Mus musculus: one gene and its partners. The protein of the gene in region 1 binds, or shares a complex with, the protein of each later gene. Links are inferred from orthologs where the notes say so. Each region holds a gene or a part of one and is shown in the gene's direction. Other genes may lie near its edges. The genes, in order: Drc1, Efcab2, Drc7, Iqcd, Drc3, Tcte1 and Fbxl13.

The links.
Region 2: Drc1 (region 1) and Efcab2 share a complex: the UniProt entries of both Homo sapiens proteins name them as parts of the nexin-dynein regulatory complex. The link is inferred for Mus musculus from reciprocal best matches to the Homo sapiens genes DRC1 and DRC8.
Region 3: Drc1 (region 1) and Drc7 share a complex: the UniProt entries of both Homo sapiens proteins name them as parts of the nexin-dynein regulatory complex. The link is inferred for Mus musculus from reciprocal best matches to the Homo sapiens genes DRC1 and DRC7.
Region 4: Drc1 (region 1) and Iqcd share a complex: the UniProt entries of both Homo sapiens proteins name them as parts of the nexin-dynein regulatory complex. The link is inferred for Mus musculus from reciprocal best matches to the Homo sapiens genes DRC1 and DRC10.
Region 5: Drc1 (region 1) and Drc3 share a complex: the UniProt entries of both Homo sapiens proteins name them as parts of the nexin-dynein regulatory complex. The link is inferred for Mus musculus from reciprocal best matches to the Homo sapiens genes DRC1 and DRC3.
Region 6: Drc1 (region 1) and Tcte1 share a complex: the UniProt entries of both Homo sapiens proteins name them as parts of the nexin-dynein regulatory complex. The link is inferred for Mus musculus from reciprocal best matches to the Homo sapiens genes DRC1 and DRC5.
Region 7: Drc1 (region 1) and Fbxl13 share a complex: the UniProt entries of both Homo sapiens proteins name them as parts of the nexin-dynein regulatory complex. The link is inferred for Mus musculus from reciprocal best matches to the Homo sapiens genes DRC1 and FBXL13.

Annotation. Positions count from the first base shown.
Region 1 is NC_000071.6:30,340,205-30,344,243, forward strand, and holds part of Drc1 (dynein regulatory complex protein 1), read left to right. Parts: intron 1-1,459; coding exon 1,460-1,547; intron 1,548-2,463; coding exon 2,464-2,576; intron 2,577-4,039. UniProt on the Homo sapiens protein: Component of the nexin-dynein regulatory complex (N-DRC) a key regulator of ciliary/flagellar motility which maintains the alignment and integrity of the distal axoneme and regulates microtubule sliding in motile axonemes.
Region 2 is NC_000067.6:178,404,744-178,409,283, forward strand, and holds the start of Efcab2 (dynein regulatory complex protein 8), read left to right. Parts: upstream 1-1,274; 5' UTR 1,275-1,359; coding exon 1,360-1,390; intron 1,391-4,540. UniProt on the Homo sapiens protein: Component of the nexin-dynein regulatory complex (N-DRC), a key regulator of ciliary/flagellar motility which maintains the alignment and integrity of the distal axoneme and regulates microtubule sliding in motile axonemes.
Region 3 is NC_000074.6:95,061,131-95,065,169, forward strand, and holds part of Drc7 (dynein regulatory complex subunit 7), read left to right. Parts: intron 1-582; coding exon 583-741; intron 742-1,046; coding exon 1,047-1,265; intron 1,266-4,039. UniProt on the Homo sapiens protein: Component of the nexin-dynein regulatory complex (N-DRC) a key regulator of ciliary/flagellar motility which maintains the alignment and integrity of the distal axoneme and regulates microtubule sliding in motile axonemes.
Region 4 is NC_000071.6:120,598,960-120,602,998, forward strand, and holds part of Iqcd (dynein regulatory complex protein 10), read left to right. Parts: intron 1-1,068; 5' UTR 1,069-1,159; coding exon 1,160-1,879; intron 1,880-3,366; coding exon 3,367-3,600; intron 3,601-4,039. UniProt on the Homo sapiens protein: Component of the nexin-dynein regulatory complex (N-DRC), a key regulator of ciliary/flagellar motility which maintains the alignment and integrity of the distal axoneme and regulates microtubule sliding in motile axonemes.
Region 5 is NC_000077.6:60,351,883-60,356,524, forward strand, and holds the start of Drc3 (dynein regulatory complex subunit 3), read left to right. Parts: upstream 1-1,497; 5' UTR 1,498-1,550; intron 1,551-2,219; 5' UTR 2,220-2,318; intron 2,319-4,642. Other genes in the region: Tom1l2 (TOM1-like protein 2), read right to left, coding at 875-926. UniProt on the Homo sapiens protein: Component of the nexin-dynein regulatory complex (N-DRC) a key regulator of ciliary/flagellar motility which maintains the alignment and integrity of the distal axoneme and regulates microtubule sliding in motile axonemes.
Region 6 is NC_000083.6:45,521,766-45,526,462, forward strand, and holds the start of Tcte1 (dynein regulatory complex subunit 5), read left to right. Parts: upstream 1-1,668; 5' UTR 1,669-1,806; intron 1,807-4,697. UniProt on the Homo sapiens protein: Component of the nexin-dynein regulatory complex (N-DRC) a key regulator of ciliary/flagellar motility which maintains the alignment and integrity of the distal axoneme and regulates microtubule sliding in motile axonemes.
Region 7 is NC_000071.6:21,523,337-21,527,375, reverse strand, and holds part of Fbxl13 (dynein regulatory complex subunit 6), read left to right. Parts: intron 1-2,823; coding exon 2,824-2,922; intron 2,923-3,458; coding exon 3,459-3,576; intron 3,577-3,664; coding exon 3,665-3,827; intron 3,828-4,039. UniProt on the Homo sapiens protein: Substrate-recognition component of the SCF (SKP1-CUL1-F-box protein)-type E3 ubiquitin ligase complex.

The DNA of each region.
Region 1 (4,039 bases):
GAAATGCCCCCTTAAGATTGGGCTGTAGGACATTTTCTTAATTAGTGATTGATGGGGAAGGACCCAGCCCATTATGGGTGGTTCCATCCCTGGGCTGGTGGTTCTGGGTTCTATAAGAAAGTGGGCTGAGCAGGCCAGAGAGCAGCCCCGCCTCCCCGCCCCCCCATGGCCTCTGCATCAGCCCCTGCCTCCAGGTTCCTGCCCTGTTTTTGTCCCCGTGCTGACTTGCTTTGCCGATGAAGACTTAAGATTTTTTTGTTTTTTTGTTTTGTTTGTTTTTTGTTTTTCAAGACAGGGTTTCTCTGTATAGCCCTGGCTGTCCTGGCACTCACTTTGTAGACCAGGCTGGCCTCAAACTCAGAAATCTGCCTGCCTCTGCCTCCTGAGTGCTAGGATTAAAGGCATGTGCCACCACGCCCGATGAAGACTTAGAAGCTTAAACAGATTAAACCCTTTTCTCCCCCTAGTTTGCTTTTGGCCTTAGTGTTTCCTCACAGCAATAGAAACCTTAAGACACAATGTACCCTGGATTACCTGGGGTCTATGCTGAGGGGTCCTGAAGGTCCCTGCCCAGCCACCCATTGGAAAGGTCAGTTGACAGTGACAGCAAAGGCTGGGCATCTGCTCTGACCTCGAGGGTTTTGAGTGTGAGTAGCTGGCAGGTCTTAGACTGTTGCTTTCTAGTTGATTATTATTGTAGAACCAGCCAGTGAGGCAAGGCCTGCCAACGATAAGGAAGTGCATGCCGCCCTGGGTTGGTTTTAGTGTCTGTCAAAGCCCATTTACCAAGCATACCTGTTCCCTTCTGGAACCCAATATGAAGCCTGAGGGCAGGAGTCAGAGAAAAGTGTGGCAGATGGCATCAGCTGGTGTCCAAATGCCACACAGAGGAGATGCCAGCTACAAGGCATCATCTCGGTTGCTTATCCTGCTCCTGCAACAAAGGCAACTTGAGAGAGAGAATTTACTTCAGCTCATAGTCCACAGCCGGGGAGTCAAGGGCAGAAGTCAGGGAATGGTGTTTTCTACAGCGGGGATGGGACGTCCCATCCCAGCCAGATCCTCAAGATAACCCACATGTACAGTCCAGATACCTGTCCCAGGTGATTCTAGATTCTGTCAAACTAATGGCTCCAACCATCATGGGGACTTGATAGCATCCTGTCCTTTTCACCTGACTAGATTTATTCAAAGATGGGCTTTGTATCCTAAGGTTTTCTGTTCTCTTTTATTTGCTTGTAGTGTGGGATTTTTGTTGTTGTTGTCGTCGTTGTTTGTTTTGAGATTGGATTTCTCTATATATCCCTGGGTACTGGCTTTGTAAACCAGGCTGGCCGCAGAACTCATAGAGATCCACCTACCTGTGCCTCCCGAGTGCTGGGATTAACGGCGTGTGTTTAAACACAAAGCACAAACACTCATGACTGCACTGTCCTGCCTTGATGTCTTCCTGCCACAGGGAAGCCCTGGGAGAGTATTTGGACGGGAAGAAGGAGAGTGAGGAGGAGCAGAGCAAGAGCTACAAACAGAAAGAAGAGAGCCGCCTGGTACGAGCTGAGCCGGCGGTCGCAGAGTCTCGTAGCCTGGTTTTCATAGGCAGGAAGTATACCTTCTGTGTTGCTGACTCTAGATGGGGCTGTCTCGTTTTGGGGTTCCCTAGGAGTGAGCTTTCAAACTGTAGGTTCCTGTCAGGAAAGATGGCACGTAAGTACAGGTACCCACAAGACGGGGACAGGAGTGCTCTGCTGGAAGACTGGCCTAGGATATGATATGAGCAGGCCTCAGAAACAAACAAGTGAGAAATTGGGGCAGGTTGGGTGGGTGGGGATGACTGGGGTAAAGTGCTTGTGTCAAAAGCACAAGGACTAGATTTCAGATCTCCAACCACATGTAAATGAGGAGTCAGTAGGGTGGCAGAGAGCCCAAAGCAAGCTGGCTTGGAGCTGACTGTGTAAGGCTGGGTGGGTGGCACACGCCTGTTTTAATCCTACTACTTGGGTGGCAGAGGCAAGCAGATCTCTGTGAATTCCAGAACAGCCTGGTCTACAAAGGGAGTTCAGGACAGCCAAGGCTACACAGAAAAAATCCTGTCTGAAAAAACAAAACAAAACATCATGTAGACCAGGCTGGCCTTAGAACCAGTGATCCACCTGCCTCTGCCTCCTGAGCTCTGGTTTTAAAGACATAAGCCACTGTGCTCCTCTCTCTCTCTCTCTCTCTCTCTCTCTCTCTCTCTCTCTCTCTCTCTCTCTCTCTGTTTACATTTAACGTCTCTACTTATGTGCCCCGGGATGTATGTGCTGTGCTGCCTGTGGCAGTCCAAGGACTTGTGGCGTGGGAGTTGATTCCTACAGTGCGGGTCCCGGGGTTGAACTCGCGGCTTGGCAGCAAGCTTACACAGTGAGCCATCTCAATAGCCCAGAATAGTCTAGATTCACAGCTTGCCGCCTCTCTGTTTTCCAGAAACTGACTAAACTCCTGCTCTGCGGGACCGAGTTGGTGACAAATATTCAGGTGGCTGCAGACGTCAGAGAGATCCACAGGAGGGTTGAAGAGGAGGAGACAAAGCGGCAGAGGTAAGGGATGTGCTGCCTTTGTGCGCCACAGTCGCCACGTGACTGCCCTTCCACTCTCCCAGTCCTTGGAGCGAAAATTTGTCCAACCCGGTCTCATGGAATCCCCTTCCTGCTCCGTGTGAACCCACCGTCCTCCTTTCCCCGCTTCTTCCCTCGTCCCTCCCTTCCTCAAGTGTCCCAAGCTGTGTGGGTGTGAATGGAGGGCCGGTCGGTCCCTTGCCTCTGACAACACGGGACACTTAACAGCGGTCTGTTCTAAAAAGGAGATCAAGGAGATCAAGGAATGTAGGAAGTCACAGGAGGAGGCTTTCGGTTGGAGAAAACACAGCAGGAATTTTGGGTTGCACTGGGAAGGCCAAGTAAGGTTTAGGCTGTCGCGTAGGCATCTTAGGCAGAGGCGTGCAATCTCAGAACATGTCTGGGAGTGGCAGGTGCGGCTCAGATGGTGCCTACAGCCCTGGGAATGATTCTTGCAGGTGAAGCCTGTTGAGTAGGAGTTGCTGGCAGAGCGTAGGGGTGGAGGTGGGGGTGTGTGCATGCACCTGAAGTCAATGCTTGCCTCGGTCAGCAAACTTTCCTGTGGCGCTAAAGCTGCTGCAGGATTGATGGAAACCTGGGCTTGGAGCGCCACCCAGTGTTTAACCTGCAGAGGCCACGCCAGCCTCAGATAAGGCAAAGATAAAACTGCATTTAGTGACAAAGTGATGCTTTGTGAGGGAAACACTAGCTTTTCTTCCTCTTATCTGGGCTTCTCTGGTCTTGGTAAACACACTGGGAAACAGTGTGGCTTGTTTTCTGCTATCTGGCATACATTTAGTCACCGGAAGTCATGCTGTAAGGTGCATTTACTGTGCTGAGATTTAGAGGCGTTGTTTAAAGGCCACATGAGAGTGAAGATTTGGAGGTGAAGGCAGAAGCCCCCCATCACCCCCCCAAAATCAACTAAGAAGCTCAACATTTAAATCAATTAAGTGACCAAACCCACAGATAGCTCAGAATTAGGCACATAGAGGCATAGCTTATAAAAGAAACACTGTAATAGGTCCTGTGTGCTCTCAGCTGGACAGTGAGGTACAGGATCATATTCATGTTGTGGTCCCTGCACTAAAGAAGTTTAATCCCAGCCTTTAATACCAACACTTGGGTGACAGAGACAGGAGGATCTCTGTGAGTTTGAGGCCAGCCTGGTCTACAGAGTGAGTTCCAGGACAGCCAGGGCTACATAGTGAAACCCTGTCTTGAAAGAACAAAACAAAACAAAGGGAAGTTGTGGTCTTGTTTAGTGACAGTATAGTCAGCAGCATTGCTCCCGTCTCCGCTCTGATGACTTCCTCTCTGTCACATCATCAGTGCACCCCACACAGGGCCTCTCTGGAATTTCTAAAAGGCATTCCTGACTTCCTTCTCAGACATCCCATTAGTTTAGCTGGGGCGGAACGATCAGACACCAGAGGCTACGCTTG
Region 2 (4,540 bases), on another chromosome or scaffold:
CTCTTTCTTTTTGTTTTATTGTTTTGTTTTTGTTTTTGTTTTTGTTTTTTTGAGACAGGGTTTCTCTGTGTAGCCCTGGCTGTCCTGGAACTCACTCTGTAGACCAGGCTGGCCTCGAACTCAGAAATCTGCCTGCCTCTGCCTCCTGAGTGCTGGGGAAATTTGCTTGATATGCACCATTTTCTGATTATTCAAATTGTAGTTAGACACTTCATCAAATCTTTATTGCCTATAGAAAAAAATATTTTAATGAAGAGTACAGTTGGCCTGCTTTGAGGGTTCATTCACTGAGATTACAGAACTTCGATGAATAAAAACTAATAATAAAAAATAAAATACTGAGATGTAAAGTGAATAAATAACTATATTAAAGAAAAATCAAGACAAAACAAAGGCCTCTACATTTAGTTACTTTTACAAAAATATTTAAATAAGTACACATATACCATGAAATTATCATTAAAGATTAAAACTAGATATTAATTTGAGTCACATTGTTAGACATTTCAAAACTGTTGGGTTTTTTTTGTTTGTTTGTTTGTTTGTTTGTTTTGGGGGGGTTTCATTTAAGGGAGAATCTTAGTATTCTGAGCTTATCCATCAAATAACAAAACACGCGATAGCCAAGTTTCTCAGTACTCAAAATTCTCATCGGAAGGTCATGCCAAATTGCACCATCAACATACAAAATGTGTGTATCCCTGAGAACAGACCGTCAATTTATTTGTTGCTATGAGAACACTATTTTGTATCAGAAATTGCAGCCTTGGCGACGCAGTGTTTGCGCCTATTTTGCACATGTTTTTCTACAGCAAGTCCTCTCTCTCTCTCTCTCTCTCTCTCTCTCTCTCTCTCTCTCTCTCTCTCTCTGCGATCCCGGGGAAAGGCTGGGCTTCCTCCTGCACTGGCCCATGTCCGTTTTCGCTCCAGTTCCGTGACTGGCAGAGTGGCTCCGCTCAGGAGAGGGTGACGCCAGAGAGCCACAAGGCCTGGCTCGGGTGGGGTTGGGGTGGGCGGACGCTTTTCGGGGAGGGACCGTGTAAGGGGCCGCCAGGTCTGCGCCCGGTTCTGGGGCGCACCTGAGACGGCCGGGAAAAAAAAAAGCTGAATAAAATAAGTAATTAAAGAAATGAATAAAGAAATAAGCAAGGCACACTACGTCCTTGACAGTCACAATCAGGCCCAGGCGGGTTCCGGAGCCTTGTTAATAAATGACGCCCCTAGGCCCAAAGAACGCGGGCCTCGGTTCTGGTGGGGGCGGGGATCGGGGGGCCACCGTGCATCCAGGGGCTTTCTCCGCCCGCGGGGTCCCGCAGGGTTCGTGCTGGATGTCTCCCGGGCGACCGGCTCCGCACCAAGATGGCGGAGGAAAGGGACGCGGAAGGGACAGGTAGGACCCTGCCTGGGGTGCCACGACGTCGCCTCTGCGCCTGAGGAAGCGCCCCCCGGCCAACATCTTGAGCCCCTCGGCGTGGCGACAGTGGGCTGAAAAGCGGCGCCAGCCCGCGTCCCCACCGTCCGCCCTCCCGTCCCCTCGAGAGGTCTGCGCGGGCTGTTGTAGCCCCCGCCGGGGAGGTTCATAATGGCGTCCTTGTCCCTGGCACCTCCCCTCCCCGTGAGGGCGCCAGCCGCGGTCTGGGTGGGCTGTGGGTAACCCGGAGGGCGGCCTCATGGAGGACTGGAGCTGCGACTAGAACCTGGCGGGATCCTCTGCGGCTGTGCCGAAACCCCGCCCAGCCCGGCCCAACCCGGCCCCAGCCGCCTCCATTTTGCCTCCTCCTCCGCCAGGCGGAGCGCAGCCTCCAGGTCAGACTGGGCCCTAGCGGCCCGGGTCGCGCTAGAGCCTTGCATAAGGAACACGCACTTTAATCACTTTAAAGAAAACCCAGCCGGGACTTGTCGGGCCGCCCAGACCGGCCGGGTACCCGAGAGGCCTCAGGGGACCCGAAAAACTAATGTTTCATGTTGAACTGCAAGACCTTTTGAATTGTTGCTAACCCAGCCGAATGACTTAAAATCGGATCTGTGACTCAACAGCCATTACGTGATAAATTGACAACATCACCGCTAAATAAATAGTCAAGCAAGCCCTAAAATAGTAAATGGCAAACATTGCAAAAAAAGTGAAAGTAACACTCCATCTTTGCTGACTCTCTCCCCTCCCTCTTGTATTCCCCCACCCCCACCCCCACCCTCTGGTTTGGAACACAGTAGTTAGGTTAACAACTAATATTTACACGAGTTGTTTAGTCCATTGTCATGGTGATTACAGGAACCCAGCAGGGAAACTTGAGACCCTAGATTTTTTTTTTTTTTTTTTTTTTGGTTTTGGCTGTCCTGGAACTCACTTTGTAGACCTGGCTGGCCTCGAACTCAGAAATCCGCCTGCTTCTGCCTCCGGAGTGCTGGGATTAAAGGCGTGCGCCACCACTCCTGGCAGCTAGAGATCTTATTGATGACCTGTGATTTATAGATGGTAAAATTAATCTCAGAAGTCGGCATTGTAGTATAGAGTTTTAACTCTACTAAGGTATCAAGATTTTTGTGGTGCTATTTTAGAAATGGAAGGTTTTATTCTACTTTTTTGTTGTTGTTTTTACAAAGAATATGAAGTTAGAGGGCAGGGAGTGTCGGTGAGGTGTTGGGGGAAGGGAAAGAATATGATCAAAATATGTTGTATAAAAAATGTTTTAGGTGAGTCGGGGGTGGTGGTGCACACCTTTAATCCCAGCACTTGGGAGGCAGAGGCAGGCAGATTTCTGAGTTCGAGGCCAGCCTGGTCCTACAAAGTAAGTTCCAGGACAACAAGGGCTACACAGAGAAACCCTGTCTCAAAAAAAAAAAAAAAAAAAAGTTTTAGGTAAAAAAAAAAAAAAAGCTTCCCCAGAAAGTATTTTTTTTTTTTTAGTTATACTTTTATTACCCCCCTCAAAAAAAGTAAAGGAGAAAATCATTAGGGGATGAATTATTTTTTAAATTAATTTACCTTATGTGTATTGGTGTATTGCCTTTGTGTATGTCCTTGTGAGGGTGTCGGATCCCCCAGAACTGGAGTTGCAGATGGTTGTGAGCTGCCATGTGTGTTCTGGGAATTGATCCAGGATTCTCTGGAAGAGCAGGTAGTGCTTCTAACCTCTGAGCCATCTGTTTTTTTGTTTTTTGGGTTTTTTTTTTGTTTTGTTTTGTTTTTTAAACAAAATCTAAATCATTTGGTTTTACCAATGAAAACCCGGGAGCCAGAATCTGTGGTGAAAGTTTGCTAGCTCAGAGAAGCAGAGAAAGCACCCAGCTGACCCTGCTCCTCAGCCAGTGTCCCAGACATTGTTTTTTTTTTTTTTTTTTTTTTTTTAAATAATCCTATGTTTACTCTCTGTCAATTGGTTGCTTGTTCCACCTCTTAACTTATGGTTGACTTTATTTAATTTTGTTTATAATATTCAAGCAGAGAACTCTTGGATAAATGCATATGCTAAAGCTGAAACACACCACAACTAGAGACACAATAGGTGTTATTAACACAGTGGGAACAAATATCCATCTCTCCAGACCCCTCCTTTTCTTTTTAAGTTAAAGACTTATTTAGGGTAGCATTGGAGTATACTGCAAGTTTTTACAATGTAAAATTATACACACACACACACACACACACACACACAACACTTAGGATCTCACCTTGTAGCTTTGATTGGTCTGGAACTCCCAGAGATGCACCTGTCTGCATCTGAGTGAGTGCTGTGACTAAAACTGTGTGCCACCACACCCAGCCTGATTTTTACAGTTGTTATCCCTGCTTGAGAGAGACAGAGACAGACAGAATTTCTGTTTCTTTAGTTTCCAAAACATATTTTAATGTTTAGTGTAAGTTTAGGAGAAAAAACAGTTCAGTCTGCAACTAACTGTGGAAGTAATGGCTGTTGAAAGCTGGATTTCATATATTCAATTTCTTATATATTTAATGCTTGCTTCATGGAAAGTAGTCTGGTGAATGTTAAACCTGAAAATTGTGATGAGGAAGATGGAATCCATGGTTGTCCAACTGAAGTAAGCTTTATTAAATACTGGCCAGGAAGATGGACACTGGCCATGTCCCTATGTGGGATTCTTACAGAAATGGTGATGAATTCCATCCTTCAGGTGCCTGTTAGGCCAGGCTCATGAAACTCCTTACTTTCCACCTTGGTTCACTGGGGCAAGCATACATCCTGACTTCCTTCCTGCCTGTGCGTCTCCTGCCTGGATGTGACCAAGCACATCCTGTGCAGTTGGGACAACAAACTTTGTTTATTGAAGGGGAACAGGGATTCATTATCTGACAAAAACAACAGCCCTCTGCATTCCTGGGAGTTATCTGTCCTTGGGCGAGTGGGGTTTAAAGCTTAACTTTAGCCCTTACATCAGGGCAGAACTTTAGTGAATAGCGAGATGAAGAAGGCATTGTCTTTGTCCTCCCCAAAGGGGAGGTTATCAGTAAGGGAGATAAGAGAGGAAGAAATGGAAAACAAGAAGCCAAGAGGAGCAATAGGGAGCCAGGGCCAAGATA
Region 3 (4,039 bases), on another chromosome or scaffold:
AGCCTGGGTTCGATCCCCAAGACTGGAGATTATATTTCTTTCACAGTCATAAGCCCACCTCAGCAGCTCCTGTAGAGTTCTTTCCTGGGAACACATATCATCATTTTGTACTTAATTATATACACATGTGCACACACATTCATGTAGAAACACACACGTTCACTTTTCTTTCCTGGTTCAGAAAACTTGAACTTGGAATCTGTGTATGAACTCTCCCAAGGATAACCCCTGAAAACTCTTAGTCCAGACTATCTGCCCCACCCTCTATCTGGGATCCAGATCAGCTGGGTTGAGCGCCAGTGCGAGCCCTTGTGTGTGTGTGTGTGTGTGTGTGTGTGTGTGTGTGTGTGTGTGTGTGTGTGTGTGTAATGTTCTTGTGCCAGGCTGGTGGGGAGGTCTTTAGTATTCTCTGCCATGCAGCTAGTCTTGATCCATAAAGAGGATCCTCCACCTCGACTCCCACTCCTCCCTTCAGGTCCTGGAGCTGGGGCGGCAGCTCCCTCTTCTGTCAGGGCTAGGCCCCGATCCCATTAAGCCTGTAAAGGGTGCAGTGGGCGACTTTCCACTCTTCTTGGGTGACAGATAGTCAAGAAGAAAGAGAAGACGGTGCCTAAGAAATACTCCATCAAGCCGCCCCGGGACCTGACCAGCAAGTTTGAGCAGGAGCAAGAGGAGAAGAGAATACAGGAGATCAAGGATCTAGAACAAAGGCGACTTAAGGAAGAGGAAGATCGCATCCTGGTGGGCCTCCACGACACTGCACTCTGACATGACCCGGTGGGCCCAGTGGATAACATACCAGGGCCATAAGGCCTTCCCTTAAGATTCACTAAAGCGCTCCTTACCCATAGAATGTATTGCCTTTCTTTGGATGAAATCTCACCTAGGGTGCCCCAAAGAGTGAGCCACAGATCTGGTCACCTGCCCCACCCCCCACCCCACCCCCGCCACTGCCACCATTTTAGTGGTTGAAACCTGGAATTCTAAGGAGGAATGTTGGAAAGAGAGTTCCCCTTAGCTGGTGGTCACCCACCTTCCCTGTGCAGGAGGCAGAGAAAGCGAAGCCCGACCCCCTGCATGGCCTGCGGGTACACTCCTGGGTCCTGGTGCTGGCAGGAAAGCGAGAGGTGCCTGAGAGCTTCTTCATCGACCCTCTGACTGCACGCAGCTACAGTACCAAGGATGAGCACTTCCTGGGCATTGAGAGCCTCTGGAACCACAAGAACTACTGGATCAACATGCAGGATTGCTGGAACTGCTGCAAGGTGTGCCGGAGTCGGGAGAGGGGTGGGTAAAGACCGGGGATGGGGGGTTGTGGGGAGCCTGGCCACCTACCCTCTGATAGCAGGGTCTGGTGGAAGTCCCAGACTCCACACCCACAGCTATCAAGGGCCATTCTGGCAAGATGAACTTCACCAGTTTGCTATGTGCATTCTTTTTAACCCATATGCTTATTGGTTTATGCAAATGAACTCTGGGTGCAGGTTGTCCATCTAAAGGGCTAAGCACACTGTCCACCGAAGGCCCTGCTTCCTGTACCCAGAATAAGAAAGAATACGGCCCATCCCTCAGGAATCCTCTTGTGTAAAGTGCTTGCCACCGACCCTAATGACCTGCGTTAGATACTAGGGTCCGCATGGTGGAAGGAGAGAACTGATTCCTGAAAGTTGTCCTATGAGCTGCATATTCACACACACACACACACACACACACACACACACACACACACTCTCTCTCTCTCTCTCTCTCTCTCTCGAAAAGGTGCACAATTGTAAGGGCGCATCTTGTTAGATTGGTTTGTGATAATGAACTCCCCTACATACCAGCACCTGCCCACTCCCATCCAATAACCCCTCCACCCACAAGCTCTGTGGTCTAGCAGGTGCTTATCAGGTACAGGTTAATACTACAAAAACAAGGAAAAATTCCTTTATACAGACACTCTTCACTTGAGAAAGGATGCATACGTCCACAGGGAGACGTCACTGAAGGGCGGGGGTAGGGGCAGGTGGCATGGCCTATGGGGGTGGAGCCAGTGCTGACTTCTTAAGGGTCCATCATTTTGTTTAACACACTTGGTCGGCAGAGTCGTACGGTGCACGTACTCTTCTGTGTTGGGTTTGTCAAGTCGTGGAGATGTTTGAGAGATTTGTCCATTTCCTGCCGGGCAATGCGTTGCTCGTGTTTACTGTTCATTAATTCCCTGTTCTTGAAGCAAACCAGAACCCATTTTGCTGTTTTAGAGTGGCATGTTTAGGCCATTTCCAGCACGGGATTATTTGGATAGTGCTTCAGCGAGCACTTCCCTCCCTGCATTTCAGGGAACACATACATACCTGCCTCTGATGGATTAAGACTTGGGAGAGTCACCTATCATCTCAGTAGATTCTTCTCATTTTGCAAAAGTGACCGATTCAAAGCAGCACTCTGTGAGAGTCTGGACAGCCTCCTGCTCCTTACACTCAGTGTTTGCTTGGGGGAGTCTGAGATGAGGTCTCACTCCAGACCAGGTTGCCCCGGAGCCATGCCTTGTGCCTTAGCCTCGGGAACGCTGAGATTCCAGGTGTGCATAGCGAGGCCGCTTGTTTTTGCCATTCTGTGGGCAGAAGGTGATGTTACGTTGTTTCAAAACTACAACTGGCCTTTTGAAGACGGTCCTCATATTCAGAAAGTCTAAAATCTGTCTATTAACTCTAAGAATTAGAAAGACTCCAGGGCTGTTCTCTCTGGGAGGTCAGTTTTAATCCTTTTGTGGGTGACTTTCTATAAAATCAGTGTTGTTTCTTCTTTAGACGTCATCTGGGTCTAGAGTTCTCTTCCCCACCCCCACCCCCACCCCCAACCCAAGTTCTCTTTGTAGGATGTTTTAAATGACACATTCAGTTTGGATAACGTGTTTATCTGGCAGTGCTGGAGACAAACCCCAAACCTTGAGTATTCCAGGCAAATGCTCTGCCATTGAGACTTATACACCCAACTCAGGACATTTATTCTTGAGTAATTTCTGGTACTTTCTTTTTCTTTTTTTTTTTCTTTTTCTTTTCTTTTTTTTTTTCTTTTCTTTTTTTTTTTCCTTTTCTTTCTTTCTTTCTTTCTTTTTTTTTTTTGAAAATTTGGTCCCTTTCGTTTAAATTTTCAAATTATTGCTATAAAATGTTAATAGCTCCTTATTTTTCTTTTACTATTTTAAAGACTCTCTCAATCTTGACACTGATAATGTAGTGATTTCTCCTCTAATGAGCTTGGTTAGAGGCTTTTCAATAGTGTTGGTTAGAGGCTTTTCAATAGTGTTGGAATTGTCAACAAACTAGCTTTTGGTTCTGTTGATTTTTTTTTTTCATATAGCTTTGTTTCATTTATTTCTGTTCTGATCCTTATTATTTTCTAATGTTTGTTTTATTGATTAGTTTCTTAAGGTGAAAACTTAAGAAATGAACCTGGCTGGCTTTATTTTGCTAGTAAGGACCTTCATTTCACTCCAGCGACTCCCCCGCCCTTTTTCCCAGTTCAAAAATTCTCTCTCCTTTTCCTTTTCACTTATCCTCTGATCCATGAGTCATTTTAAAATGTGGTGTTTCAGCCAGATGGTGGTGGCATGCCCATTTAACCCCAGCACTTGGCAGGCAGATCTTTTGAGGCCAGCCCTGGTCTACAGAAGGAGTGCCAGGAGAGCCAGGGCTACACAGAGAAACCCTGTCTCAAAACAAAACAAAACAAAACAAAACAAAACAAAAAAACAAAACCCCAAAAAACAAACAAAGGTTCTGTTTATAGACATGTAGATGTGTTTCCCAGTGATCTGTCTATTTTTATTTCAGTTTTTAATTGTATGGTTTTTAGAGAATGTTTACCATGTAACCCCCACTATCTTCTTACAGCTTGGTTGTTGGTCCAGCTTATGCTACCTCTCAAATGTTCTGTGAATTTAACTAAAATGACTATTTTTTGAGGCTGACTAGAAGGTTCTGTTGGATGTCAATCTTCACAAGCCTGTTGATGGTGCTCACTTCTTCCCTGGTCTTCTTTGCTGGTTTTCTAT
Region 4 (4,039 bases), about 90 Mb from region 1:
GTTCCATCCCCAGAGCTCACACGAAAAGCCAAGGACGTAGGCAAGAGTTTGTAATCTCAGCCTTGGGGAGGTGAACCCACTGGCTTGCTGGCGGCCAGCCTGCCCAAGCTGGTGAGGTTCCAGTTTAGCCAGAGACCCTGTCTCAAAAAGTAAGGAGACAGATGAAGAAAGACACCTGATAGTGATATCTGGCCTGCATGGGGACATATAATATGTAGAAGTGCACACATGCACATGTACACACATGCACACACTATGCATACCTGATCACAGATGCTCCCGGTGTGTGCTGGTACACAGTCATCCACCCTGCTTGGCCTTGCCCCTGTTCAGCTCTGTCCATGTCCTGTCCTATCCTGTCCTACTCTGTGTGACCTGTCCTCCTGTGTCAGTGTCTGCTCCTATTCTGTGGCCCATCCTGCTCTGTCCCTGTCCCGTCCTAATGTTCGGCATGTCCTGCTCCTTGCCCCAGACTCCTCCGCATCCTGGCCTGATGATGTGGTACACCAGTGGCCCAGGCTCTTGAGTTGGTTTCCTGCTGGTTTAGCATCAACGTGGGGGGGGGGAATGCAAGTTGGGGCTAGGACATTTCCACTCTCTGATCAGACAGTGCTTGCAGTCACAGCTGCAACTCCTCTGGGGTCTACTGCCCCTGGTGAGCCCAACACATGTGGCTTCCTGCTGCTGGAGCTGCTGGGTGACCTCAGTTGCCTGAAGCTGTCCTCTCTCTGTTTCTGCCTCTTGGGTAACCCTTGGAGGTTGGTCCCCAGAACAGAGGCTGCTTTTTGCCTGATAGATGTGCCTGCAGCTGCCCTCCACCCTCAGGCCTCCTACCCCCACCCCCGCTGGCTCAAGCACCATCACGAAGCCAAAAGATAAGCTTGCCAGGGTGGTACACGCCTATAACCGTAGCCCTCAGATCGGGAGGAAGGGACAGCCTAGGCTATAATGGACCATATCTCCAAACCAAACCTTGAAGACAAAAAAGCTAAAAGTAGCTTTGAGGTTCTGTACAGTGGTCATCATGGCCAATGGCGATGTACCTCACAGTCACCCCTTCCTCTGCAGGGTTACTGGAGGCTGTGAAATCCAGGAGAGCCTTGAGTTGGCGGCTGCCTCAGTACCAGATTATACCGAGGCAAAGGCAGCCTCTCCAGAAATGGCCTTGGACCAGGTCAGCATACCCCCTTCCTACCACGGACTGGCCATCCAAAGAATCCCACTGAGAACAGGTCTAGTCCCAGCAGAGCCGATGAAGACCTTAGTCCCATCCAAATCCAAGCTCAACACCATCGAGGCCAAGAGGATCATGTCAGTCCTGGATGAGGCCATACACAAGATAGAGCTGATAACCCTGATGTCCTACATGGAGTCCCACCCAGAGGCTCTGGAGGACACGCTGCCCGAGGATTTCGTGAGAGCCCTAAGAGAGCACTTGGACATTGGCCAGACCCTGGTGGAGAGGGCCAGCATCCTGCAGAGGAGACACAAGAAGCTGGAGGAAGAGGAAGAAGCCGAGGAAACTAGGAACCAGGAACGCCTACTGTCCCTAGAGCTGCACAAGGTGAACCTGCTGACGCTGGCGCACCAGTTCCGAGACTCCACCAAGACTGTCCTGAGGCTCGTGCTGGGCGAGCCTCAGTTCACCAGGCTGTTACAGGTACAGGCGCCAGGCAGAAGCCCGGGGGCCCAGTGCCTCCTCGACGGTCTGGTGGAGCTTCGAGGTTTCCTCTTTGAGAAGCTCCTCACCAGCCCCATGGAAGTCAGGGAGAAGAACCAATTCATACAGGACATCAGCCGGAGGAGCGAGAGGAACCAGGAGGTCATCGATGACCTCCAGGCTGAGCTGGCCAACGTGCTGAAGAACAAGGAGTCAGAGGTACACCTCCCTAAGGCATCCCCCAAATTAGGGGAGAAACCTCACCCAAACAGGCCAACCCTCTGGGATTTGCCTCTTCTCTCATGGGTTTCAATAGCTCTCTCCCTTCATTTAATCCTCAGAAATTGTTCTGAGCATTTTCCTAGGAGGTCTGTCTGTAGGAAAAGCCCAACCTCCGGAGCTCAAGGAAGGACAAGGGCAGGGCGCTATCAAGGGATGATGTAAGAGAACTAAATCCTGGCCAGAAGGACTAGGGACAGCGCCACTAAGACAGGGAGGACACAGAAAGCGGGATTGAGCCAGACAAGCAAGGCAGACCTTCCCAGCCAGGGGTTGGCAAAGTGTCTGTGTCACTGGCTAAGTGGGTCCTTTGTCTCGGGTAAGATAGACACCAGACATGTGGGGGAGGAGTTGGAGAGATGGCTCAGAGGTTAAAAGTGCAGGCTTTTGTCTGTTGGAGTCAGGGTCTCACTCTACAGCCTTGACTGGCCTGGAACGCCATAGAATCCCACCTGCCTGTGCCTCCCAAGTGTTGGGATTAAAGGCATGCGCCACCACTCCCAGTACACATTGCTCTTACAGAGCAACAGAGGTCAGTTCCCAGGCCCTCTGGCCAGCTGCTTGCAAACACTGTTTACTCCAGCTCTCCCGGGGAATCTCACGCCCTCTGCTGGACACCACAGGCACCTGCATTCACTTGCATGGGGCCAGGCATGGCTCCGTGAAGACAAAGCCTTCTGTGCGAGCCAGGGGATTTGAGTGTGGGCTCCAGAGCCACTCTGTTCCCTGAGACTGGGCAGGCAGGGACAGGAGTCAGTGGCCCACCAGCCTAGCATAGCCAACAAGCTCCAGGCCAAAGAGAGAGGTGTATGACAGTTGAGGCTGTACACACAAAGGCTGTACACACAAGCACACACATGCACACATGCAGGCCACTCTATAGCTGTGAACACAGAGCTGTGACATCCAAAGCTTCCGCAGGCAGCTTAAAGTGCACCTGTACCTGCATTCCAACCAGCCCCACCCCCACCCAGATTTTCCTAGAGAGCGTATTAGAATGAGTCTCAGATCTGTTGCATCTTGGCAGCTGTGGGTCGTCCATGGCTACTGTCTTCCTGCACACACTTGCCAGCTTTCTTTCTGGCTCCATATCCCATCTCCAAAGGGTCACACATCCCACACACTGGGCTCAGTGAGCTAACGGTCTCAACATGTCTCTGTTGTTAGTGTGGAAGCAGCCATGGAGAGTATCAGGACTGAAGGGCTGTGTCCCAATAATACTTTATTGACAGCTATGGCTGGCTGGATTTGCCCTGTAGGCCTTGGCCAACCCCTTTCCTAGGGGAGGGGAGCATGTGGTCCCAGGCCGGAGAGACGCATAAGCCCCTAGGGGAGGGGCACAACCAAAGGCCAGCTGTCCTGTGACTGGGAGTGGGAGGACTGCGTGGCTATTAAATAGGGCCCTGTCCTCATTCGTCCTGGCCTAGGTGGAGAAGGAGAACTTTGTGATCCAGGAGCTGAAGAACCATCTGCACCAGGTGTTCAAGTTTTCGGAGAACAGCCTCCTCCGCACGAAGCAGGAGGCCGAGAAGCAGCAGAAGGTGGATTTCCGGGCCTCCCAGGTCAGGCTGGCCAAGACGCAGCAAGATATCCTGGCGCTTCGGGCACAGTACCACAACCTGGTCATGGAGAACCGGGAGGCAGAGCAGGCACTAAGGAAGGTGCCCTGAGGTCTCAGGGGTACAGTGGGGGTGGGGGTGGGGGTGGGGGGCAGCAGGGCTGGCCCAGGGGTGCGAAAGCCCAAGATAGGTGGGATCTCCTGGGAGGTGGGAAGGGGAAGCAGCCAAACCAAGAGTTGGGTCAAGGAGGTCAAATCCCCATCCCAGAATTAGGGCACTAAAGCTCAGTGACCTCCCCAAAGTCCCTGGGCTCCCCTGAGCCCGAAAGGATGATGGCCCCTTCTTGAAGTAGCTCGTGACCCTCAGGCAAACTGAACAGGACCCTTCCGTGTCTGGTTCTCATGAGCTCTGAGGAAGCATAGCTGGAAGTGTGGGCACAGCGCGTGCTGTGAGCATGTGCCAAGCATGGCTGCTTTGTTTGTTCCCTGTCTCAACCGTGCTCCAACCACCTCTCAAGTCTCTTTCCGAGGACACCTTCTTA
Region 5 (4,642 bases), on another chromosome or scaffold:
ACTTTATGTAGTGGGAGAGCAAGAGGCAATGTAAGGAGACGCTTAATATCAACAAGGAAGATTCAGAACTTTAGAACTTGAAGAGTCCCACCACATCTTATCTCCAAATACCCCGTGTGGCAGACAAGAGAACGTCAAAATATAAAGCGCACAAGGTCAGGAGGAGCGTCCCTGGCAAAGTCACTACTGGAGTCCAAGTTTCCGGGATCCAATGGACTGCTTATCAACAAAGCAGCCCTGCCTCCCTTCTTTCCTAGGAGGCCTAGGAGATTCTGCCGCCACGCCATCCCCCTGCCAAGCCAGTCACTTTCCCCGAGGGCCTCCCCCATCCCAGTCCCTCCTACAGCCTGACTGAGTTGCAGCTCAAATTAGAAGTCGTGCAGCATGGGGCATTTTCTGGGAAAGTGCCCAGCCTCAGAGCCATTGGTACCAATGAGCAGGGACAAGGACGGAAGAAAGAGTTCCATTCCACAAAGGCTCCGGGAGACAGAGGCCCTGGGAGCAAAGGCAGCGAGATACCTGGGGAAGAGTACTCGCAGTGACATCTCCCAATACGCAAGGGTAAGCAGACTAGCATGGACACTACTTCTGGGGAGAGACTTGAAAGGCTGGGCCCTGATGGGCAGGGATGCCGGGGACCTCTCTAAGTCCAATCGGCACCTCGGGGGAGCCTCCTTGTAGGGTGAGGTGGCACCAGCGTCAGGCAGAGGCCTCGTGACAAGGATGCCCAGTCCACCTTTGAGATGACACCACTTATTGGCAGAGGCCCAACCCGCACGTGAGGTGATTTCAGTGCCGGGAGGAGGCCCGCGGATCTCACCAGCCCGGTCAGCCGCTGTGGCTCACTCGACGCCTGCCCCACGCGCGGCCTTACCAAGACACTGCCCTACAGGGGTGCTGAACGGATTCCCCAGCAGGAACTCCATCTCGGCGGGCCTCGTTCCAGCCCGGACTCCTGTGTGCCACGGGTCTCCGCTGCCCGCGCCGCGTTCTGCCCTGACTGACACTTGCCCCCGCCCCACCCTCCGGAACGCTGAGCGCCCGGCCTGACCTCGCCCTCTGGGTGCATCTCTATTGGGCAGCGTCTAACCAGCCCACTTCCGATTGGACGACACTCCACTCTCAGTGAAGTCCCACCCACCCCGCGGCGTCCGATTGGGCACGAAGCAAGCTAAGTCACTAGGGTCTCCGTCAGCCTAGCGGCACAACCCCCGGACCCGCCTCCAAACGAGTGGCCGTTCTTCTTGATTCATTAGCACGTTGGTCAGTCTAGAGAATCTTTACTATTATTGGATAAAAGGTGTGTCAATCGTTTACATAGGCGGGCAGAAAGAAAGCGTAACTAGAAGTTGAAGCTCGTTGACTGTGCTGATTGGAGAAACGTTTGTTTTCTTCAAGTCTGGTTGGTGTTAGAAATATGGCCACGTGACGAATCAACTTTCACCCAGGATATTTATCGCTTGACTTCCCCTTAGCAACCAAGTGGCGGTGTTTGGTTCCCCAGCAACCAAACGAAGCGTCTACTGCAAGGGGAGACAGTCCTTAGGAAGGTAAGAATCAAGAGTTTAGCTCCAGAAGATTAGAGGTTGCATGATTGAGGTCTGTCTTGTAACTCTTCTTGGAGGACTCCGACCTGACCCGTCTCATCTGTAAAATGAGCACACATGTCATTTTTACACTTGTACTGAGACTTAATCGGGCTTTTGAAAAAGAAAAGAGCGTATAAAATCTTAAACTAGCAAAAGCAAGTAGGAAAAGGGTCCATCAGCCAGTTTCCTGGCCTGATTCGTTTCACTGAAAGAGAGGTACCCGATACACTGATAACTCATTCTAGAGTTTGGCTGTTATATCCATCCTCTTGATCTGCAATAAGGTATTTCATTTGGTGCCGTATGAAGTGTTTGCGATGAGAATAAAGATATCAAGGTTCCATCTCAGTCTCTGTCAGTAATTCACTCTATGACTTTGGTCACAGACCCCCCCCCCGGCCCCCCACATACACACATACCTCAAGCCTCAATTTCCCTATCTGGGAAGTAGGGACACTAAGATGTCCCTTTTAAATAGCTCCCAGAACTGGCATGGAGTTAAATAAGTGGAGTGCACTGAGAGTACGACAAGGACTTATTCTCATCAGTTGCTTTTATTCTCATTACTGTGGGACTCATAGGGTCTACATAGTGTTTCAGGTCCAGCTAACCCAGGCTGTTGTTTCCCAGGTAAACCAGTGACGAGGCTACCTGGTTGATTTGTTTGTAAAGCTTTCTGCTGCTTCTCCACATCCTACCTCTGGTCTTCACCAAGGACACTATCATCAGGCAAGTCAATGGGACCCCCATTTGGATAAATTATTGACATCCTCCCCATAGGGGAGGATTCTTTGGGCCTTGTTCTGTAGGCAGAGAACATGTGACAATGTCTGTCCCTAGTGTGCTGGGTACAATAGAGTTGTGATTAAGAAAGTGGATTCTGTGTTAGACATGAGGTCGTGCCTCTTGGTAAATCTTCATATTAGTCAATCGAGAAATTTCTCTTACAGAGATCCCTACTGTGTGCTTTCATAGTTCCATACACCCACTAACCTGTCAATGTTTGTAAGTAGATATTGGGATAATTTATTTAATTCAAGTGTGGTTCAGAAGTCAGGCCACACCTCTTCAGTATCCTTTCACAAGGTTGGTTATAGAGAGCCGCTCTGACCTTGTAGCTTTCACAAAGTTCTCTCTTTCACTCCTTACAGATGTGAGCAAACCCAGCTTCCCCTGATTCCTGGGCCAAGACATACCTGAATTGCAACTTTACTCTCTTAACTAAGCCTGCCACCGTGCCAGGAGTCATGTAGACTAGGTCAGGTCAGGTCACATGGTATAGAACTAAAAGCCACCACTGTCGTTGTCCCCCCCCCCGCCCCCCAAAACTGTGAGTCGTAAGTCCCTTTGTTCTCTGGATCTGAGGGAGCTAATGGAACTGGAAGATTTGTCTTTCTCTTCTGGGCACCATGTGGCTGCCAAGATTCTGATGCAATCTCTCCTAGTGCCCTCTCACTTCAGGGCTCCTCATGGCTGTCTGTGGCCTCGAACCTCTGACTCTCCTAGCAAAATTCTTCTGGAGGGCAATTGATTTTAGCACTACTCCTCTTTCAAACACTATTATTGGGTCAATCAATTACTTTAGCTTAGGCATAACCTTCCAAACTAGATTTTGTCTCAGACCTTCCTATAAACTAAGTTCCTAGTGATGTCCCACCCCTCTGTATTACAACCACTCTGGTCACTCACTTTCCCCTCCCCTCCCCTTCCTTTCCTTTCCATTTTTGTTTGTTTGTTTGTTTGTTTTGACACAGGTCCCTCTGTGTAGCTCAAGCTGGCCTCATACTATGTAGACCAGGCTGGCCTCAAAAAGTCACAGGGATCTGCTTGTATCTGCCTCCCAAGCGCTAGGACTTGCACCACCACTCCTGGCTAGCCTCACTCCTTTTGTAATTCTTGCCACAACAGCTATAATAAAAACTAAAATCCGATCCATCTTCACCTTACAAGCCCTAGGAGCTTGCCAGCCATTATGGAATACAAATGCAATATAGACCCTGTATCACTTCTGCTTTCCAGCTTGGGGTCTTCACTGGGTTATCGTCTCTTCTTGCTTTCTTTTCTTTTTATCCCTCATATTGTATCTTCCCTGATCAAGCCAACTGACCCTACTAGGTGTTTTCACCATTCCCCACACCTACTAAGATGTTTGTAAGTAAATGCTGGTATAACAATTTAATTCAACTCTGAAACAAAGGACCTGTCCAAGGCTCACAGCATGTGGTAGTTATTTGATATGGATGTGTGGACTAAATACAGGTCCTTTCTTAGACAGATGTAAAAAAAAAAAAAAAAAAGAAAGAAAGAAAAGTAAAGAAAAAAAAAAAAAGCCAGGCAGTGGTGGTGCACATCTTTAATCCCAGCACTTGGGAGGCAGAGGCAGGTAGATTTCTGCGTTCGAGACCAGCCTGGTCTTACAGAGTGAGTTCCAGGACAGCCAGGGCTACATGGAGAAACCCTGCCTCAAAAAACAAAAAACAAAACAACAACAACAAAAAAAATTGACAGATGTAGAGTGGGGAGTTATCTACCTAACAGGAAAAAGACTTAAGCCGGTGACGTTACTTTTCAAAAGATACACAGTCAGAGGCAAAGTCCTCTCTGGGTGTAAACATTTAGCATAGTTCTTGCACCAATCCTATACTGCACAGAACCTGCTGAGCTGGACTGAATGCTATCTAGCATGACTGAAAGCTAGTTTGACCTGTCACAGTTAATGGGCTTTGATGAAACAGAGGTCAAAGTTTTGACACCAGAATTGAGTCATTTCCCAAAGCACAACACCCAAAAAAAAAAAAAAAAAAAAATTCCATGTACTTTTCAGATAACATCTGACAAATGAACCACTTTAAAAAATTTCCCCAGAGGTAAAATTTTGAGGTTAGTGGTAAATTATGAGGAACTTTAAGGGAAACTGTTTAGGAAGAATAGGATGCTGATGCGCACAACAACTGCTTGGGAAGACTGAGTCTGTCATTCGGTCACACTGAGGAAGAAGAATCAGTCAGTTACCCTGAGGAGGAAGAGTCAGTCAATCAGCCAGCCACCCTGAG
Region 6 (4,697 bases), on another chromosome or scaffold:
GCTTTTAAAAGTTAGCACAGGGGGCTGGTGAGATGGCTCAGTGGTTAAGAGTGCTGACTGCTCTTCCAAAGTCCTGAGTTCAAATCCCAGCAACCACATGGTGGCTCACAACCATCCATAATGAAATCTGATGCCCTCTTCTGGAGTGTCTGAAGACAGCTACAGTGTACTTACATATAATAAATAAATAAATATTTTTTTTTAAATTTAGCACGTGCCCCAAGGTGGAGCTGAAGCAGAAAACAACTGAAGCCGGGCCTGAGCAGATTGCTCAATAAAGTATTTGCTCTTTGAGCATGGGGACCCAAGTTCAAGTGGCAGAAGCCACAAAAGCCAGCCTTGGTGGCGCACCTTCATAATCTCCCAGCTGTGCAGTCAGGGAAGAGTGCACAGAGACGGGGCGGGGGGGGGGGGGGGATGGGGATGGATTCCCCCAGTTCCACGAGCCATCTAACTAAGCCTGGTCTTTGAGCTCCAGGGCAGCAAAAGACCTTTTCTCAAGGAGGACAGCACCTGAGGTCACCCGCCACATGCATGTACATACCTGTGCACCTATCTATACACACAGAAGCATGCGCAAATAGAGCAGCTGAGACCGAAGCCCAGCATTTGAAGCACAGTGGAGCCAAGGAATGTAGGGAAGACCCTCCTCTATCAGAACAAAGCTGCCAGGCAGAGCTCTACCTAGACACAGGAGTGAGGGGTGGGTACAGCAGTGGGAGTGCACATTTTCATAGCAAGGATTCCCTGACACTGTATTAACTCCGAAGCGTGGGGCTACACGGTGCCAGAGTGCACACTGACTACCATGTAAGCATCTGGAGTGAGGATGTAGCTCCGGTGGCCCAGTACCAAGCATGGACTGAGCCCTGGGTTCAATTCCCCAGCACTGCAGAAACACGATTCCACTCTCTGTAATCCGGGCTCTGGAGAAGCAAGGCATGTGCAGCAGAATCAAGATCATCCACCGACTATACACACGATGGTTTGTAAGCCTCATGTGAGAGCGTGAAGGGACATGGGGACAGAAGCATGGCTCCTCACTGCATGGCTTGACCGCTGGACCTTGGTGGTAGGTTGGTCTACTAGGTTTTACCGCGGGCCCAGCTCTTTCGTGGCCACCAAGCTGAGGCTTCAACAGAGGCAATCTGACCAGAGAAGCTAGCTTAAAGCTAAACTTTGCTTTCCTAGGACAGACGGACACACACACACACACACACACACACACGCACACTCACAGTCTGCTGTCCCTCTGCTTTAGAGAATGAGTTCTTCTATTCCATATAGCCTGATCCCCGGAGTCGTCTCTCCTGCCTTGAGAGCTTCCGCCAGGCTGAGCGAAGGAGCGCTCTGGAGGCCCAGGCCCTTCCTGCCTCTGATACTTGGTTCACATTAGAGATAACCGAAGGGGCTCCCCAGCAGAGTTGGGGTCCACAGCTCGACCACAGGGGAATTCCAGAGGCTTAAGTAACTGTAGAAAGTCCCTCGCTTCCCCTGTCTCCTTTGTTTTTCTTGGGCCTTCTTCTCCTCCCCCCCTCCGCCCCCCAACTCCTTATCAGAAGTACATCCTCTAGAGCCACGCGAAAACCTTAATGCATCCCGAAACACGCAGCCAGAAAGCACGAGCGGAGGCCGAGAGCATAGGGTCGTTTTCTGAGCACGCGCACTAGGGGCAACCGAGGAGGAGGGCGCCAACGCCCAGGGCGGAGGGCTCAGGGTCCGCCCCCTGGCGACTCAGGCGTCCCTAACAACCAACTGCGCCAAGCCAACCGCCTCAGAGAGCAGTCTCCTGGGTCCCCAGAGCAGGTGAGGTGACCTCCGGGAAAGGGACCCCCAACTCTGATCTCCCCAATCAGACCATGCTGGTTAAGCTCAAAGCCCTGCCAGCTCCTGCAACCCACGCGGGTCTATGGCCCCGCAGCCGTCATCTTAGCTTCGTATGTCCTGTAATGGGAGAACCCATTCTGCAGTTACATGAAGCCCCCAGCTCATCACGCCTGTCTTCTAGAGGTGGGATCCAGGCTCTGCATTCCACACAGCGACTATCTGTAAACTGGTCTAGAGGTCTAGAATTCAAGTAAAGAAATGGGGAGACCTGGGAAGAGGAGAGTCCCCAATCCTCAGCTGAGGACAATGCTACAGGCCCTGTGGGTTCTGCACGTCCCCCATGGACCTGGTCTCTCTGAGTTACCAAGGGGAGGAGAAGAGAGGAGGCTGGAGTCGTGGGTAGAGCTACTGCAAGTGTCCCTTTCCATAGAGCTGACTACAGATGCCTGAGCTAGGATGGGGAGGACCCAGAAGCTATGAACAAGCTATCTCCCTGAGCCAGAGACCAAACCTGGGCTCTCAGAAAAACAGTGGTTGGTTTGTTTGTTTGTTTGTTTGTTTGTTTTAAATTCTCTCTTCCTTCAGCCCATAAACTGGGACTTCACAACAGGACTTTGGGCAATAGAGGGCAGGGAAGATGTAAACAAAAGCCCAGGGCTCTGAATACAGGAACCTGAGACCCAAGGAGGGCTCTTTGTGGGGAGCATGGGGTACGCGTGGGTGGGAAGCTGGCAGAGAGGTGGATGGAGACCCTAACCTGCCCCTGCAGCAGACCACCACAGCTACACTTGCAGAGAAACATGGGGCGTGACAGGCCCATTTGAGTAGTGGCAGGAACCTCCCTGACGTGGCCAGATTTTACTGGGGACTTGAAGAAGGATGAAAAGGGAAGGAATATGAGGGAGAGATCCAAGCTTGACCCAGTCTGTGAGCAACATGCGCTCCCAGCGTGAGCAGGGCAGAAGAGCAAACCTGCAACATTCTCTTGGGCCCTTGTGGAGACCTCAAGCCAAAGTCGGCCACAATCCAGCCTTAGGGAAGCGTCTCGGCAGCGAAGTAGGTGAAGGCTGGGGCTCCACAGTGGTGACCAGAGAACCCACGGGGGGAGGGAGTTCCAGAAACCTTTCTGGAACTGAGATGAGGTGAGAAAGGGGTACCTCAGAGAAGCAAGAGGGCCCATGGGGCAGATAAGCAGTCCGTCTGGCTTGCTGGCTTGGTGACAGCGAATCTCTTCAGTTTTCTAAGCCTCAGTTTCCTCTTTTGTAAGGTGTGGGCAATGGTGTTATGGTGACAAATGTCAATAATGGACATGAGGGCTTAGTGAGCTTCGTATAGGGGAGGCTGCTAACGAGTGCCAGCTCCAGGCCAAGCCTGTGTGAAATGTCACACAGTTTAGCTCCTAAATCACCTACAGTGGATGATAGGTGATGAAGGTAATATTAATGACTGTCTCCATTTGACAGGTGATGCCCCTGAAAGCTGTTGAGGTGTGAGAGGCAAGGGGTGGGGGGTGTCTGGAGACAGTCCAAGGCCTGAGCGCTCAGCCAGCAGCTGTAGGGCCGGCCCCCTGTGGGCATCTGCCATTGCACGTCTAGAATGCAATAAATCATAGCTACACAGAGCCAAGGTTATGATCCCAGACCACCTGTCCACCATATACAAAGCCATACAAAATGAGGACAGCCCCGGCCAAAATGGGACACCATTTTATTACTTTTACCAAGGCCCAGAAATTCCCAGCCCTTTATGTTGTGACTCCTTGTGTCCTGTATTTTTATACCCCTGTCCTGGTCCCGAGGACAGGGACACCTAGAGAAAGAATGGCCTTTCCCTGCCAATAGTGGTCCTGGTTGGCTGCACTTGATGCTAGAGACGCAGCTATGTAAAGCCTACAGGTCCTTGAGACGGACCCCAAGATTAAAGTCATGACCCACCTCCCACTTCTATGTTCTGAGGGCAGAGACTGCCCTGAGTGGGGACATCACACAGCAGCACAAGACACATGCATTTCTGGTGGCCCCAGCTTGTCTGAAATGCCAAAGAGAATCCCCGACATGAAGAAAGGAGTGGGACCTTGGAGTACTAAACTCCATTTCTCTCCCCACCCCACAGGCTCTCAAGGAAGATGAGTCTGTAGATCTGTGGGTCTCAACCTTCCTAATGCTGCTGACCCTTTAGAACATTTTCTCTTGTTGTGGTAAACCCCCAAAGCATAAGATTATCCCGTTGCCACTTCATAACTGTAACTTTGCTGCTGTTATGGATTGTAAATATAAAACATGAGGATATCTGCTATGGGACCCTCTGGGGTCGAGACCCATAGGTTGACAACCACTGCTCCAGCCCGCACTGGGCCCTGTCCCTTCTGGAGCTATCTTCCTTCAGTGGGTCTTCCGGAGTATCTGGTCATCTAGGTTTCTGTCCATCCCTGCAGAATCCTCAGGGCAGCCTGGAGCTAGCCAGCCAGACTAAGGCCTACCAGCAGATGCTGTAAGCAGCTATGCCTGTCTCTCCCTTTCCCCTGGTTCCTCCCATCTTTCTCCTCAATCAAACTGGGGTAGCCTCCTTTCCTTCCTTCCTTCCTTCCTTCCTTCCTTCCTTCCTTCCTTCCTTCCTCCCTCCCTCCCTCCCTCCCTCCCTCCCTTCCTTCCTCCCTCCCCTCCTCCCTTCCCCCTTCCCTTCTTCCTTCCTTCCTTTCTCTTTTTTTCTTTCGACAGGGTTTCATATAAGGTCAGGTTAACTTCAAACTTCCTTGATTTAGGAATTCTCCATTTCACTCCCCAGCGAGCCTAGCAATGTTCAACACCCTGTGGTCACAAAGGAGAAGGACAGGACCTGCAAGACCGGCAGATCAGGGGCTTCGTCACCCT
Region 7 (4,039 bases), about 8.8 Mb from region 1:
GTCTATCCACGTCTAGTTCAGAAGAACAATAAGGGGCCAAACCGTGACTGATGGTGCATGGCTGGGTCCTGTGTGTGCTACGTACTTGTATAGCCACTGCTGTGTGAGGGAGGGGTAGGGCCAGGGAGCTCTGAACCATTCTTCCTCTCGTGTTCATTCATCTCCCTGGGCTTTTTCCCCCCTGGAAGAAGTCATGAAAAATTCCCTCAGGAATCCACGGCAACAATACAAAATGTCTCCTCCTTTCTTATGGCTTTCTCTCCCTTTTTATCTACTAAGCTGATTCTTGCTACCGGAGCCAAGGCCAGCACGCCTCCTCCCAATGCTTCTTACCATGTGTAAGGCAGCAGAAGGACAGAACTCCTCCCTAGCATTTAGATTGCTTTGCTTTACACATGGGCTACCTTTCTTGACGTGGGTGAGCCTCAGACGGTAAAGTCAGCCTCAAGAGGAAGACGGAGCTTTGCCCCAGCAAATGGAATTCTGCCTGAAGACTACAACCTTTCTTGATTTTTGATTCAAAATTACAATTCCTGAAATTTCAGCTTCCTGTCTCTGGTTTATAGATTTCAGACTGCCAGCCCTTAGTATCCAGCAATCCGATTTTTTTTCTTTAAAACAAACAAACAAACAAACAACAACAACAACAACAAAAATCAACAACAAAACTAGATTTCCTAGAACTATGTAGACCAGGCTGGCCTTGAACTCACAGAGAGCTGCTTGCCTCTGCCTCCTGAGTGCTGGGATGAAAGGCCTGTGCCACCACACCAGGCATGATCTGATTTCTTAAAGTGAATCTTTCTCTTCAGAGATTTAGACAGGCATCTGAGTTTCTCTGAAGAACACTAATACATTTTCACACTACATATCTTTCTAACAATGATGCACTTGCAAGTGACCTACAGATTTTAGAATTTGTTCAGCTTTAGTTCTAAGTGGATCTATATTTCTGACAAGCTCCCTGGCAGCAGAAACTGCTTCCCTGTTGTCTTAGTTAGGGTTTCCAATGCTGTGAAGAGACACCATGATCAAGACAACTCTTATAAAGGAAAACATTTAGTTGGGGCTGGCTTACAGTTTCAGAGGGCCATTTCAGCAGGCAACTCTCTTTTCTTAGGATAATTTTGTTCAAGAAGAACTCTTGACCCAAGATACATATATTTTCTAGACCTTAGAATATTCTATTGCTAGATTCTACTTCTGAGGATGGCGAGTGCTTGCCTTAGTGCTTAACCTAGCTCAACAAAGTTCCAAAGCAGTGTATAAACTGGGCGTAGTGGACATACATGTAATTCTAGCACCCAAGATGGTACAGGATCAAAATAATCAGCTATAAAGTAAGTCCAAGGCTACCCTGGGCTCTGCGAGAACAGTTACTTAGATTATCCCAATATACTCACATCCAAAGTCAACAGCTTTAGCAGCAACTCTGTGTATTCAGCCCCTGGACTCAAGGTTGTCAAAATTTGCTGATTAGGAGCATGTATCAAAGAGGATTCTCTGAATCTTTCAAATATTTGTATGTCTGATCATATATATAATCATACTTGTTGATTGTCTATTTACCTGGTGTCATGGGTGGTGGCCTGCTAGAAACTGAGTAGCATTGGTTCAATAGCTAATCATAAACCAGTTTAGGATGTTCCATGGTGTTGTATGTGTATAAGAGAAACCTGGTCCAGGCTCTTCCTGAAGAAGTGACATTTGAAATGAGCTCTGGTTGTTTTGAGAATGTGGCTTTCAGTTCTGTAGTTGTTCGCTAGTCCTTTGCCAGTAGGCGAGGCTCTGGTGACAGAACCCTGGGAGTCCCCTGGGTGAGGTCTCTCTGAAGGTCTTGGAAGAAGTCTGTTGTAGATGCGACTCCCATTTTCTGTGCCACGCTACTGTGGAAATGACATGTCACAGGCATCCATCTGTTCCCTGAAGTCCTCAGTTTCTCCCAGATACAGCTGAGTACCAAGTGTTCCCCATCTTAAAGAACTAATTATTTTAAGGTAATTTATCATATAGTTATTTGTCCCAAAGAGGCAGAAAACAGATTAGTGACCAAGGGGAGGGGTTTGTGACAATCAGGTGCCTGGTTGCTCATGTTTTCCATTTGGCTTATGAAGGTGTTTTTGTGATGATACAGGTGGTGACTATAAAACATTGTCTAGGACTGGAGAGATGGCTCAGCAGTGAAGAGCACTGACTCTTCTTCTGAAGGTCCTGAGTTCAAATCCCAGAAACCACATGGCGGCTCACAACCGTTTGTAATGAGATCCGATGCCCTCTTCTGGTGTGTCTGAAAACAGCTACAGTGTCTTTACATATAATAAATAAATACATATTAAAAAAAGACCCAACAAACAAAACCAAAAAAAAAAATTGTCTATATTATGTGAGCTTTACTTCATTAGGACATGAATTAAATGACAAAAACAATCAGGACTGGATCCTTCCTGTCATGTCAGTCCTATTTTATGGTTTTAATTCAGGTTTATTTATTTAAAAATTACATTTATTTATTTAATGTGTGTGCGTGCGTGCTTGTGCACATGTGCAGTGAATGAGCCACATGGATCTTGCTGAGTTCAGAGTACAATAGCTATGTACAAAAGGCTGAACACTGTGTAGCTGCATTCATACTAAATGCTAGAGTCAGTTCTAGCTTCTGTCCTGTGAGCTCCGGGTCTTGAACCTGAGCTGTTCGGCTTGACAGCAAGCACTTTCAGCCCATGGTTTTAATTTTAAAACGTGGAAACTTCATGCATCTGTGATCTGGTGATCATGAACGGCCTGCTAATTACCTTTCCCACGCTTTTCTCCCGTGTGATTCAGATCTCAGTCCAAGGCTTCAGGAACATCGCCAGCAGCTGCACGGGGATTGTGCACCTTACTATCAACGACATGCCCACTCTGACGGACAACTGCGTAAAAGTGGGCCATGAGGAAGAGCCTCTCCCTTCTCTTATCTGAGCACACATTCCAATAGCCTTAGCTATTGAAAACTATGAATTGACTTCTTCTTTGTATTGATTAATAGCTAGGAAATCATTTAAATATGTACACATACACACATGCATGTATCTCAAAAAACATTTGAATGCTTCAATCTTCATGAAGATAAAACCAAAGCACACTGGAAATCCTCCCAACTAACTACGACCTAGCCTCAGCTCTGCTTGGCTTAAGTCTGATGCCCCATGTCAAACTGCCGACTGACTGACTCTGCACTCCATTTCCTCATGTTTGCCCATGCTCTCCAAACATGATTTCATTTTCATTTCTCCTCAGTATTGAAACATGAGCATATTGGTTTCATCAAATATGAAAACAGTCCTATTTGCTTTAAAATTGGGAAAATGCAATAGTCAGCATGTTTGTCTTTCTAAAAAAAATGCAGGGAGACGACACTATCCCCTCGCTGTCTCCTTCTTCCAGTAATCCTGTCTCCTTTCTTTCCTCTTCTGAAGGTTTTGGTTGAGAAGTGTCCCCGTATTTCGTCGGTGGTTTTAATTGGTTCACCACACATCTCTGACTCTGCTTTCAAAGCTCTTTCCTCCTGCGACCTCAAAAAGATTCGATTTGAAGGTCTGTGACGCTAGAAACTCAATTTATCCTTATTTTTAATTTTTCTTTCCTGTACATTGAAATATAGTACTTGTATTTCCTCCAACAGGAAACAAAAGGATTTCTGATGCGTGCTTTAAGTCGATAGACAGGAATTATCCAGGCATCAATCACATTTACATGGTGGACTGCAAAGGGCTAACAGACAGCAGCCTCAAGTCACTTTCACTTTTGAAGCAATTGACAGTGTTGAACTTGACAAATTGCATAAGGTAAGAAGACATTCATGGTATTCAAAAAATATTGATTATCTAGGATGCACCACTAGGTGCCTGGGAGGAGCCTAGACGAATCGCAGGTAAGCTAAGAGTCCATTTTAAACTGGGGAAAAGAGTCATTTCCCTGTTGTTAATAATCATGACATCTAATTAAACAAATGGACACTAATAACATCTTGTGAATATCCCTTCCATTACTATCATCT